Oryctolagus cuniculus: one gene and its partners. The protein of the gene in region 3 interacts with the protein of the main gene of each other region in a biochemical or structural test. Links are inferred from orthologs where the notes say so. Each region holds a gene or a part of one and is shown on either strand. Other genes may lie near its edges.

Region 1 (4,489 bases), on a different chromosome or scaffold from region 3:
AAAGAAAATAAACAAGTCAACCTTACAGCCAATGTACACATGAACAGCAAGAGAGAGGGACTGGGTAGGAGGCAGCACAAACCCAGCTGGTGGGACGGAGAGTCTCCCCAGCCGGCAGGCGCAGAGGACCCTGCTAAACAGTCCTAGAACACCTGCCAACATGTCAGAATTCCACTGTCCTCTCTGGAATTTCATAGCTTCTCTGAGTGCTGGGAACATCTATTACATCTCTCGCCCCAGAGATGCCCACGTCATTACTGGCCGAAGCCCATATCTTCCCCAGGGCATCTGGCCTGGTTCCTAACACACCTGTGGCATCCTTTAGCCCAGCCCTAACTCCCTCCTCTGAGTGTCATGACCTCTGTCCCTCAGCTGCATCCTGCAACCCTCTGGGACCTGACCTCCATACTCAGCAGCCTCTGTTCAGAGCACTTTACACACGGCTGGGTCTACACCTATCAGATGAGGTAACTTGGCAAGCACCCAGTACAAGGTTCAGAGAGCATACGTTCGAGGTGTGAAAGACCGGCCCTGACCCTCCCAGCCTCAGGTACTACGGGGGATCTCACAGGTGAGGCTCCAAGGCCTGAGCCCTTCTGCTCCTCAGAGCCTAAGGCAGCGCAGCTCCTGCCCAGACCAGGCCACTGGGATCTGCAGACCATGAGGCATCACCCTCCACTCCGGACAGACGACATCTGCTTGCTGCACCACCAACTTTGTAATTTGATCAAAAAAGCAATCAAGTTCATCTGGCAGGATTTGTTCCCGAGAAGCCCTCGCCAGTAGCAGCCTCCCCTGATGTTTACAGACTCCCTTCCCTTGGGAGTCTGCTCTGCCGCCTGGTGGGCAGGGCAGGCTGGGTCCGTCAGAGCTGCTCACTCACTGCCCGTCTATCCTAAGTCACCACCAGGGCACGGGGACCAGGACAGGCCTGCAATGGCCACTACAGCCTCAAAGACAGAGGCTCCACGTGCCTCATATTAAGAGTTCTCCGTTCTACACCACACACCACCCTCCAGCCCCTCCCCCTCTTTAAAGACCAAACTCCTTCAAGCCTTCAGGGACCAGGGCAGAGCCGCGCTGCCTACGTCTCCTTCTGTCTTTTCAACCTGAGCACTTCAGCTCCCCAGTGCAACTCCTCGTCTTGCTTCAAAGTCCACCCACCCTGAAATTTCAACTCTCATCCAAGTGCTAAAACACACAGCGCCCGACTCCTGGGGCAGCTTCTCAAAGAGTCACATCCCCTAGGACCCCTTATGGAGAGGCCAAGAAGGAGGGATGCTCACCTCGGGCAGACAACTTCTTGGTATTGATGATTTTTGCTGCATACTCTTGCGTGGAGGTTTTCTTCACACACCTGCGGACCACAGAGAAAGCACCCCTGGAGGGAGAAGGGGGAAAGAACTGGGACACGGAGCAGCGCAGTGTGACACAGACACACTTCAGGTCTGAGGGCAGGGATGCTCCCCCCACCAGACCTCTAGCCACACTCACACACCGAGCCGTGACCACCTCGTGACACTGCACAGACGTGGTTGGAGTACCACCCTGCTCCCACCCCTGATGGAGGCCCCCGGCAAGACAGCAGCCTTAGCTTTGGGCTGCACATCAGGAGCTAGTGGGCGATGCTTAAAACACACACCTGCTGCATCTCACTGATAACCCTGGGTCCTGGGTAACACAACCAGGGGAGAGAAGGAAACACAGAGACCCTGTCCTTCTCAGCAGGAAGAGTTGAAGGTAGGGGAAGGAGAGGTCAAAAACAGGATATAATCAATCTTCTGAGAGAAAAATCCCTCTTAGCCATGGGGAAAGTGAGGCTCAATCCCCCTCCACGCGCGCACACATACGCGCGCGCTCACACACACACACACACACACACGGCTTCATCCCACTGCATCCCAGCTCAACTGACAGCAAAGGAAAAGAGAGGACACAGTTGTGAGTCTGACATCAACAGCGCCCTTTCCCCATGATATTTTCCTCTACGTCCCCCCAAATGGGAGCTCGCACTCCCGGGCTCTAGAAACGTCTGGGGGGCGGGCAGGGCGGGGGCTGCAGTGGCCGGGCTCGGCGCCGCGGGTGGGGGTGGGGGGGCCGGGGCTGCAGCAGCGGCCAGCTCAGTGCGAAGGGGAGGGGGATGCTGCGGCTGCGGCGCGCGGCTCCTGGGACCACTGCAGGGGTGGGGGGAGGGGCCGGGGGTGCTGCAGCGCTGCCCAGCAGCGGGGTTGGGATCCTGGAAGCGGCACTAGCGGGGGGGCGGGGCCGGCCACCAAACATCCCCCCCACTCCCAGGCACCGCAGCGGGTCTGAAGCTGCAGGGCTGGGGAGGGTCCTGAGTGCCAGGCGCGTGGGACGTGGGGACAGGGTGCACAGTGAGCTCCGGAGCAGGGTGGGGAGGGGGCGGCGAGCAGGAGGGGTCGGGGCAAGGGTGAGGGAGGGGCGGGGCTGGAGGGCGCCCAGGAGCTGTTTGGGGGGCTGCAGTCCCCGCGGCAGAGCGGAGTGCAGCAGCCCGCGCAGCTGCTGCGGGGCGCAAAGGGGGCTGCGGGGCATGAAGTGGGGGTCGCGGGGGTTCCGGAGGCAGCAGGCGGGAAAGGCTGGGGGTGGGGCGGGCCGAGGGGGCGCTGCAGCGGCCAGTGCAGGGCCGGGGGCGGGGCGAGGAGCCGCATAGCGCCCGGGCGGCGGGGGCAGGGTGGGGGGCCGCGGCGGGCGGCGGCGGGCGGGCCGTACTTGCCGAGCTCCTCGAAGAGCTGGTAGTCGTCGGTGAAGCGGGTGCAGGTGGCGGTGGTGGCCATGCTGGCGGGCGGGCGGACGCGGCGGTGCAGCCCGCGCCGACGTCGGTGCACAGTCACCGCCGCCCGGCCGAGGGAGCAAGAGGAGGAGACGGGGCTGAGCCCGGCAGCACCGCGAGACTTTACCGGGGAGAGCGAGGGAGGGAGGGACACCCCCGCGCCCGCCCGCCCGCCCCGCCCCCAGCCTCGCCGGCCCCCCCCCCGCCCGGCCCCCGGACCGCCCCCGGGGTGGGGCCTCCCGCCACTGGCCCCGCCCTGCCCGGGAGCCGCCCGGGCTGGGCCAGGCGTGCTAGAGAACCTGGAGGAGGGGTCCCAGCTCCAGGGCACCCGCCAGAGCGGACAGAGGTTTGCGACCAGTAGACTCGTCCCGGAGCCCACCCTGCAAGGGCTTGGGAATGTGTGTGCAAGGGTGTACGTGTTAGGAGTGGTGGAAGGGTCTGGACCATCCAGCTCTCCGGAGAGGCCCCCCCCCCCAGGCGGGGTCCCAAGTCTCCCCCCATCCCCACCCAGGGCTCACTTCGAGTGCAAGGCGTGCCAAGGTCAAGCAGCCCGAGTCACAGCCCAGCTGGTGCAGAGCCAGCTGCTAGCAGCCTGAGGTCGTGGAGCTGACAGTCTAGACTTGGGCAAGCACCAGGGCCATTATTAGGAGAACTCGCATCAGGTGCCGTTGGATCAGAGCGACCAGGCCAGGGACAAGGATACAGGTGGAGCTGTGCCTTCCTGTGCTGGATCTTAGAGATGAGAGAATGTGCTCTTTCAGGCCAGTGAATGAAAGGGATGGTGCGGTAATGCTTTCAAAAGGCTCCGTGCTTGGGCACTACAAAAGCAAATGGAAAGATGGAGAAAACATCCCCATTTTCTTGCAGAGCACCCTGCACTTGTGTGGCAGGGTGGATTTTCTGGTGTGAGAGACAAGTAGAACTACAGCATATTTATCTCAAGAGGGAACTCAGATTAGACCACCAGGCTCAGACTGGCAACTCAGTGGCCAGTTGTGTGAACTTGGGCAAGTTACTTAATTTTTGTCTGCCTCAGTTACCTTATCTGAAATTAGAAATAATAATAAGTATCTACCTCATAGCATTGTGAGCATTAAATGAGCTAAACCACATAAAGCACTTAGAATAGTACCTGGTACCTAAATAGAACTGTTTGCTGTTATAATTTGTTTAATATTTGCCTTCTCACTAAATTATAGGTTCCAATAGGGCAAGGCCTCTGCCTCCTTTGTTCACCACCATATACTCAGCCCCAGACTCAGTAAATATTTGCAGAATGTTAAAGGGAGTTATCACCCCTTCTTCTGTCCCTACGAGGACAGGTTGGTGGGACAGAGACACATAATTCTCAATGGAGGAGAAATAGGCTGGAAAGTTTTCTACCCTGCCTGAGAGAGCTGTACCCCAAGTCCAGTGCCAGCCCCTACTGGGCAGGATGGCGCTCAGCCAACTGCAGCAGCTCAGCCTTGATTACAGCAGGACGCCCACTGGGAGGCAGGCCTCCATTGTCTGCAGGCTCGCTCTGCCTGGAGGAGGCAGCTGAGAGGCGCCCCAGCCCTCCGAGCTGCCTCCCAGAGGGGTGGGTGGAGCAAAGCTCTCAGGGCTGGCTCCCTCCTTTCCCTACCCAACAGCCCTGGGTGCCGCTCTGAAAACCAGACTGCCCAGTGTGGGGTGAGTAGGGAGTAGAAGGGAGTGGTG
Region 2 (3,716 bases), on a different chromosome or scaffold from region 3:
GAGCAAAACCAGCAGATGAGACTCGAGCTGGTGCCCACATGCCACAGTGCTGGCCTCAAAAAAATAATAATAAATTAAAAAAAAAAAAAACAGAAAACATGGGGCCGGCACTGTGGCATAGCGAATAAAGCTGCCACCTGCAACACCAGCGTCCCATAAGGGCACTGGTTCGAGTCCCAGCTGTTCCACTTCCGATCCAGCTCTCTGTCTGGGACAGCAGTGGAAGATGACCCAAGTGCTTGGGCCCCTGCACCCACATGGGAAACCCGGAAGAAGCTCCTGGCTCCTGGCTTTGGTGGCAGCTCCGGCTGTTGCGGCCAATTGAACCAGCAGATGGAAGACCTCTCTCTCTGCCTCTCTATAACTCTGTCTTCAAATAAATAAATCTTAAAAAAAAAAACAGAAAACAGAGGCAGGTGGTGTGGCTCAGTGGGTTAAGCTACCACCTGTGATGCCGGCATCCCATATGGGCACTGGTTCAAGTCCCAGCTGCTCCGCCTCCGATCCAGCTCCCTGCTAATGCACTTGGGAAGGCAGCCCAAGATGGCCCAAGTGATTGGGCCCCCGCACCTGCACGGCCCAGCAGGAGAGCCACAGATCGGGGTACGTCCGATGGGCGCTATCTTGCCCCCTACAGGACACACTACAAATGCACTCCGTGACCTGGCTAGATTCAAACACACTCTGAGACCGAACTTGGAGCAGAGGGAGAGGCAAGTCCAACCCAGACCAAGCCCAATCACGGGTCCCTTTATGTCTGCTATCTATCTATGTATTTGAAAGGTAGAGAGACAGAGAGAGAGAGAGAGAGAGAGACAGAGTTCCCATCCACTGGTTCACTCCCCCAAGTGGCTGCAGCAGCCAGAGCTGGGGCTGGGCAGAAGCCAGGAGCCAGGAGCCGCATCCCGCGTGGGTGGCAGGGGCCCGGGCACTGGAGTCGTGAGCGGATGCTTCCCAGGCGCATTGGGCAGGGCGGGGGACGGGGCGAGCATCCGGCCTGGCCGCTAAAGACGCCTGGGTCAGACGCTTGGTCCCTGCGTGTGCGCACCCTGGGAGGCAGCAGGTGCCAACGGCTCAGGAATTCAGGGCCCCTGCCACCCACGTGGGAGACCCGGATGGAGCTCCCGGATGGAGCCGGCCAGCGTGAAGCTTCACCCCTCAGCCGCCCCGAGTTGGGTCAGGAGTCAGATGCCAGAACGGAGAGAAGACAAAGCCCACAGCGGCCAGCTCCAGGCCCCAGCAGGCTGCCCACCGCTGGGATGGACAGGCAGGCAGCCTATGGATCCCATCCCCCGGGGGCGGGGCCGAGGCAGGGGGCGGGGCCCGGCTTACCTGAACCTCCCAATCCGCCGCAGGTGTGAGAACATCTCCCCGCCGGGTACGTACTCCATAACCATGTACAAGTTTGAGTTGTCCTGTGAGAGGCCAAGTTTGAGTTGTCTGGCTCCCTGGTGCAGGTGCCGCCTGCCCTGACAGGTGCCCCCCGGGGGAGCGGGCAGGGGGCCCTGGCCAGCGTGCCCCTCCTGGGCAGAGGGAGGGCTCTACCATTGGCTTTGCGTCTTAGAGACAGAGGAAGGTTACCAGGGCCCCCCAGCAAAATGCAACCAGGATTAAAAAAAAAAAAAAAAGATGAATTTCAAGATGGTGATGGCAGAGCCCCCCTCCCCCCCATGACCACAGGTCCTTGTGACCGCCTGCCTGGGTCGAACGCCCCGTGAAGCTGGCCTGGAAGAGGCCCTCCCGGCTCTTGCGGCAGGGCCTTGGACAAAGTTGCACCTAAGACAGGTCAGGAGAAAGGGCATTCGCAGGGAATGTGCCGGAACCTGTCGCCATGACCCTAACCACTCCCGGGTTACAGGAGAGAAGATGGAGGCTGGGAGGGGAGAGATGCCAGCCCTGGCTTGCCTGGCCCGGGATGGATGGGAGTGGGAAACAGGCTGCCGTGGGGCTAAGCACGCCTCAGCCCCAGGCCCAGCCTCTGGCCCCGGCCCCGGCCCCAGCCTGTGCTCCAGCCCAAGCCCCGGCCCCGGCCCCGGCCTCGACCCAGGCCTCAGCCCCAGCCCCAGCCCCAGCCCCAGGCCCAGCCCCGGCCCCGGCCCCAGCCACAGGCCCAGCCCCAGTCCCGGCCCCGGCCCCGGCCTCAGTCCCAGTCCCGGCCCCAGGCCCAGCCCCGGCCCCGGCCCCGGCCCCGGCCCCGGCCCTGGCCCCAGGACCTCACCTTGAAGGAGAACTCGAGTTTGACGAGGAACGGGAAGTTAACTGCTTGCAGAATGCGTTTTTCGTTCAGGGTGTGCTCGATCTGTTTCAGCTTCACCACCTGCGGGCCGGGAGCGGGGTCAAGGTCAGGGTCAGGGTCAGGGTCAGGGAGCCGGTGGGAGGGCCACCCCATCCCTGCCACGGGTCCCCCAGACCCCTGCAGCTGAGGGTCCCTGGGCTGGGCTCACAAGCCTGTCCTGGCTCAACACACACACAGCAAGATGAGACACCAGGACTCTCAGCCCAGAGAGGTCAATGCTGGGACAGGGGGAGGCTTGGGGCTGGTGCAAACCCAAATAAGGCACCGTGGTGTAGTGTGGGGAGAGGCGCAATCAGAGGTGGCTTCCTGGAGGAAGGGGCAGCTGAGCTGCAAAGAAAAATAAAAGGCAAGCAGAGGCAGGCCCTGTGGCACAGTGAGCTAAGCGGCCGCCCCTGGAGGGCTGCATCCCAAGTTGGGGCACCGGTTCAAGTCCCAGGTGCTCCATTTCTGATCCAGCTCCCTGGGAAAGCCGTGGAAGATGGCCCACGTGCTTGGGCCCCTGCCGCCCACGTGGGAGACCTGGATGGAGCTCCTGGCTCCCAGCTCCTGGCTTCCAGCCCGAAGGCGGGGCCATGGTGGGCACAGGAGCTCTTTCTCTGCTTTTCAAGCAAAGATTTAAAAAGAGAGAAAGGAGGAGACGCTGCCTTCCCCTTATCTAGCCCAGCGACACACAGTGCCCAGGCCTCAGGCTCTCCCCGCACAGCGCGGGCCAGGAGCCAGAGCCGGAGCCTCACCCGGGCTCTCTGGTTCAGTGGTGACAGGAGCCCTGAGAGGGGCATGCTGGGAGCACGCCGGTCTGGAAGTGCAGGCACAGAGGGGAGGGGACGTGCCCAAGGTCACACAGCCGGCTAGCGCCAGGCCAGTGCGCCCCACACAGGTGGCCTAGGTCCCCGGTTAGCTGTGAAGCACCCAGCCGGGGTGTTTCCTGCCTCGACTCAGGCAGCTGGACCCTTGAGGCCTGCACTGTGAGGGCCCTGGATGTGTGGCCAGTGGGCTGGCGAACCGAATTTAAAATTGTCAGTATTGGGGCCAGCATCCCATATGGGCATCGGTTCGAGTCCTGGCTGCTCCACTTCCGATCCAGCTCTCTGCTAATGCGCCTGGGAAAGCAGTGGAAGATGGGCCAAGGGCTTGGGCCCCTGCACCCATGTGGGAGACCCAGATGGGGGTTCCTGGCTCCTGGCGATTGGCCTGGCCCAGCCCGGGCCATTGCAGCCATTTGGGGAATGAGCGATCTCCCTATCTCTGACACTCTAGCTTTCAAATAAAATTTCTTTTTCAAAAATCCATTTATTTAACAGGCAGAGCTATAGAGACAGGGAAAGACAAAGACCTCCATCCGCTGGTTCATTCCTCAAATGGCAGCAACGCCTGGGGTTGTGCCAGGCCAAAGCCAGGAGCCAGGAGCTTCTTCCAGGTC
Region 3 (4,413 bases):
CTCCCGCCGCCGGGCACCTGCCTGCCGCCGGGCGTTGGCCTCCTTGCTGTCTCTGCGCAGCCGGATCTGACGCACGATGCCCTCGAACAGGGCCTGGACGTTGTGGTGCAGAGCGGCCGACGTCTCGATGAACTTGCAGTCGAAGACCACGGCGCAGGCCCTGCCCTCTGGTGTGGGTGGGGACAGACACGTGCCAGTCAGCAGAGTTGGGTAGGGTGGCTCCGGAGCCCGTTCGGACCCCAGCTGCCCTTGGCAGCTGTTACTTCGGAGTCTGCAGGCAAGGGCAGGGAGTGCCGGGGTCTTCCCGAGAGGCACAGAGAACCCAGAGACTCAGGCCGAGGGCCACCCCACAGACAGAGTGTGCCCACATTTAAGCAGTCCCCAAATCAGGGGTCCCCACCCCTGGTTAATGTGCTGCAGCAACCTGGAGTCTAATATTTAAAGGGAAGTGCAGAGGTCGCAAACACAAGAAAACCCGAACAGTGTTGGAGTGCTAAGCGTTTTACCACTGGACATCATAACACGATGGTGGTCTATGAAGTGACGGCTCCCTGGACGGGGGCCTGGGGGCAACACGGCCAAGCCATGGGTAAGGAGGAACCACTGGGCTCCTCTGAGGGTCTGGGTCCTGGGGGCTACAGGGTCAAGCCTACTCCAAGACCGGCCTGGGTCTGGCATCCAGGCTCCGACCTGCGGGCTTGGTGCCCTGCACTGCCTTCTACGCATTCCCAGCCCACCCGTGAGGCCAGGGCTAAAGGGGCCGGCGAGGAGAGGCCTGAGTGGCACCTGCGCCCCCAGCAAGTTGGGCTCTCCCTCTAGTCCTGTCCCGCCTCCCGCAGCCCTGTGGGTGGGCAGCAGCTCTCCCCTGCCCGGCCCTCCCGCCCCTCCAGGTTTTCTTCCTGGACATTTTTAGTCACTGATGATCCCCGGACACTCAAGCTGAGCCAAGATGGACTGGGTCACAGCCCAGGACAGCACCTCCCTCCCCTTCCGACCTGCTGCCTGCTCACCGTCCACGGAGACCTCGCGAGAGCGCACCAGGTCGCTCTTGTTGCCCACGAGGATGATGGGCACGTCGTCCGTCTGCCGCGCCCGCCGCAGCTGCACCCGCAGCTCTGACGCCTTCTCGAAGCTACCCTTATCGGTCACGGAGTACACAATGACATACGCGTCCCCCATGGCCATGCAGTGGCCGGGCAGCCAGCGGCCCCCATCCTGAAGGACACACACACACACTCACACGTGGTTCCCAGGACTTCACGCCCCTGCCACGAGCCCGTCACTCCCAGCAGGCCCCTGCCACCCCACCCTGGGTCTCAGCCTGTATCCTACCTGCTCCCAAATGTCGTAGACCATGAGTGACGCCTCTTCTCCGTCCACCATGATGGAGCGATCATACGTGTGCCCTAGGCAGAAGGTCAGCAGCCAGGTTACCACCTGACTCGCAAGAGCCCTCCCCACAGTGGGGGGGTTCCTGCTCAGGCCACACCTTCCAACTCCCCCTAAGGGGCCCCTCCCCCTCCGCTTGCAAACCACTGCTGGGTGACAGGGCTGGGAGCTGGGGGATGGAGGGCACTGCACCCATGACCTCCAGCGACATGCCCCCAGGTAGGCCCTGTCCTGGCTGGGGCGCTCCCTGCACTGCTGCCTCACCCTGCGGGCTCTGACCACAGCAGCTGAGTTACAAGAGTGACTGTAACACCCCCTGAGGGCCTTGGCCACCTCCAAACTCCCTCTGGTTTTCTTCCTGGCAGCCTGGCAAGGAGGGATGGCCCAGCCTTTGCCACAGAGCTGCAGCATCCACACCCTGGGGCCCTCGCCGCTGGTATTTCGTCCCCTGCCAAAGGTGTTCTCTTCTCCCTTAGTTTCGCCTCCTTGAAAAAGAGTGGCTAGAGGCATGATTCTAAAGGCAGAGTTCCGCGGTATTTGCCACCTCCGGTCCAGGTCCCCGGCCCCAGACCACCCCCACGCCCCACGCGCCGTCTGTCACGACCCTGGGAATGCCCCCTCGCCTGGGTGACCCCATCCCCTCACCTGCAGCCTCTGCTTCAGGCCCGTCCTCCACTCCGCCGAAGATGCGCGCCAGAGCGCTCTTGCCCACGCCAGGCGCCCCCAGCAAAAGCACCTTGTACACGCTGTCGTCCGAGCTGCTGCCCCCCGAGCTGAGCGAGTCGGAGGAGCCCTCGGGCCAGTCCAGCCTCGGACCCTGGGTCGCCGCCCCGGCCGCAGTGGCCGCCAGGGCGCCGGGAGCCAGCGCCGCCTGCAGGTCGCGCTCGTCCACCGGCATGCTCCGGCGGTGCAGCGGCGGCGCCGGGCCCCAGGGCGTGCTGCCCCGACGGCGCTCGCGCTCTCGGCCCCCGCCGCGGCTCCCGCCCGCGCCGCCGCCGCCGCCGCCGCCGTTCAGGGTCATCGCGTCCGACGCCGTCTGGGGGACGGAGAAGCGGGACGGCAACATAAGCCGCGCGGGAGATGAGGCCCGAGCTGCCCCTGCCCAACCTCGAGTCGGGCAAGCGGCTCGGCGCCCAGGACCCGCCACAGTCCACTCCCCGCCACGAGGATCCTGGAGCCCTAACCCGCGGCCCATCCGCAACCCAGACGGAGTGGCCACCCCGCGCTGTCAGGACACTCACCCACGCGCTCACAGACACAGTCAGGACTGGGATCCGGGCTCCAATACAACCCCCTCGCACACCCGGGATCGGACACACACAAGCACTCCACCCGCCCCTGCGGCCGCCGCCGTTTCAGCTTGGCTGGTTCCGAAGCCTCTTATTTAAGCCTCTGCCCGCCCCCGCCTCCGGCCCACGCCGCTGCGGGGGCTGACGTGTCCACCCCCGCCCGGGGAATCCCCACCCTCCTCCTGGGACCTCACACTGAGCCCCCCCCCCCCCCCGCCCTCCAGGGGCGGGGCGGAGAGCTGCCGGGGCTTGGTGTGATTGTGTTTGAGAGGGGGGGCGAGGGGGAGAAGGGAGGAGGGAGAAAGAGAGGGACTGTGTTGGGGCACGATGGGAGGGGACGGGCCAGGGGGAACTGGACCAGCTGTGTCCAGTGCGGCAGCTCCCCACTGGGGAAGATTTAGGTCTGGCCCTTTCAGAGTGAGGTCTCCTTCTCTCCTGGTCCTGGCTCATGGTCCAAGCAAGTAGAGCAGTTATGGGGCGCACAATCACTCCCCACGGATCACTCAGATCGGAGCGAAATTGAGGGCTAGCTTGGACACCAAGTCCTTTCCCCTCCCTCCCTGTCCTGGGAGGCGGAAGTTCTCCCTCAGGAGCCTGCCTTTCTGGGTGAGGGCTGGGTGGGGAGCAGGCCACCCTGGGGCCATGTTTTGCAGCCGAGGTGTGGGCTCTGAAACCTGGGGTGGAGACACTGCCGGAGAAGGGAAAAGGATGGATTCAGCCTCTGCTCCTCCTCCCTCCCAGCACCCCCCAAGCAGCTGCCAGCAACTCTGCTAAAAATATCTGCCCCTGGCCATGACCCTGCTCCTGGTCACTCCGCTCCTGGGCTGGAGGCTGCCCCATGCTGGGGAAACCCAGGCCGATGCGGTTGGGATGCCAGCAGGGCCAGCCACCACAGTCTTCAAGACCTCCCTCCATCTCTCCAGTCCCCCAGGCAGCCTGCCGTGCAGGGCACAGCCAGGGCCTGGAGGTCCAGGCTCCTACCCAGGAGGGGTGTGAACAGAGTCAGGAGTGGGCTGCCACTTGGTGCCAGCACTGCCCAGAGTCCCCCTCCACATCAGACCGAGGGTGGGCACCAGGGCACAGAGGGCGGAGGCGGAGGGGAGAGCTTGGTTTCCAGTGCAGGCTCTGCCTCCAGCCTGCCGAGTCTCTCCTCTCCCGTCCTCAGAGGGCTCAGCTATAACCTGGGCTTCAGGAGCCGTCCCGCCCCACAGGGCGCTCATCTCTGGGGTGAGCACTGGGGACAGACAGGCTGAAGTGTTTTGTGGCAGGAAACTGCCATTGGATTCTGATGTTTGTGATGAGTATGCCGGCAGTGGGAGGGCACCCACTCGGGACTCAGGTGACATCACAGATAGACCCTGGTGAGCTGTCACAGGTTGTCATGGAGACCTGGTCCAGGCTCTCAGGCTGTTGCATCAGTTTCCTTAGCAACACCTACGATGGCCTTGGAATGACAATGGCCTGGTTAGTAAAGGTTAGAGGGCCCTCTTACTCACGAGGTCCCCAAAATAGATAAGAGCTGGGCCACGGGGTGGTCTGCCCAATTGTGCCTTCCACATGGGGGAGGGAACTTGGAGATCTGGACAGCCCCATGCTGCCGCTTGCTTCCTGGATGAAGTCCCGTGGGAAGAGAGAATGACAGCCCAGCCACCTGTCAGAGGACGGGAGCCTGAAGAGCCGGCACACAGCGCTTCCCATCAGGAATCCTGGCTGGGCTGCTAATACTATGCCATCC

The links.
Region 1: of the proteins of RRAD (region 3) and CAMK2G, one has a biochemical effect on the other in vitro, tested with the Homo sapiens proteins (2 studies listed by BioGRID, with this or other methods). The link is inferred for Oryctolagus cuniculus from reciprocal best matches to the Homo sapiens genes RRAD and CAMK2G.
Region 2: of the proteins of RRAD (region 3) and PRKACA, one has a biochemical effect on the other in vitro, tested with the Homo sapiens proteins (2 studies listed by BioGRID). The link is inferred for Oryctolagus cuniculus from reciprocal best matches to the Homo sapiens genes RRAD and PRKACA.

What each region holds. Positions count from the first base shown.
Region 1 is NC_091446.1:64,901,957-64,906,445, forward strand, and holds the start of CAMK2G (calcium/calmodulin-dependent protein kinase type II subunit gamma), read right to left. Parts: upstream 2,928-4,489; 5' UTR 2,796-2,927; coding exon 2,731-2,795; intron 1,382-2,730; coding exon 1,287-1,381; intron 1-1,286.
Region 2 is NC_091447.1:62,974,336-62,978,051, forward strand, and holds part of PRKACA (cAMP-dependent protein kinase catalytic subunit alpha), read right to left. Parts: intron 2,318-3,716; coding exon 2,219-2,317; intron 1,416-2,218; coding exon 1,333-1,415; intron 1-1,332.
Region 3 is NC_091449.1:49,756,954-49,761,366, forward strand, and holds the start of RRAD (GTP-binding protein RAD), read right to left. Parts: upstream 2,814-4,413; 5' UTR 2,631-2,813; intron 2,426-2,630; 5' UTR 2,411-2,425; coding exon 2,035-2,410; intron 1,407-2,034; coding exon 1,333-1,406; intron 1,216-1,332; coding exon 1,011-1,215; intron 168-1,010; coding exon 1-167. UniProt on the Homo sapiens protein: May regulate basal voltage-dependent L-type Ca(2+) currents and be required for beta-adrenergic augmentation of Ca(2+) influx in cardiomyocytes, thereby regulating increases in heart rate and contractile force.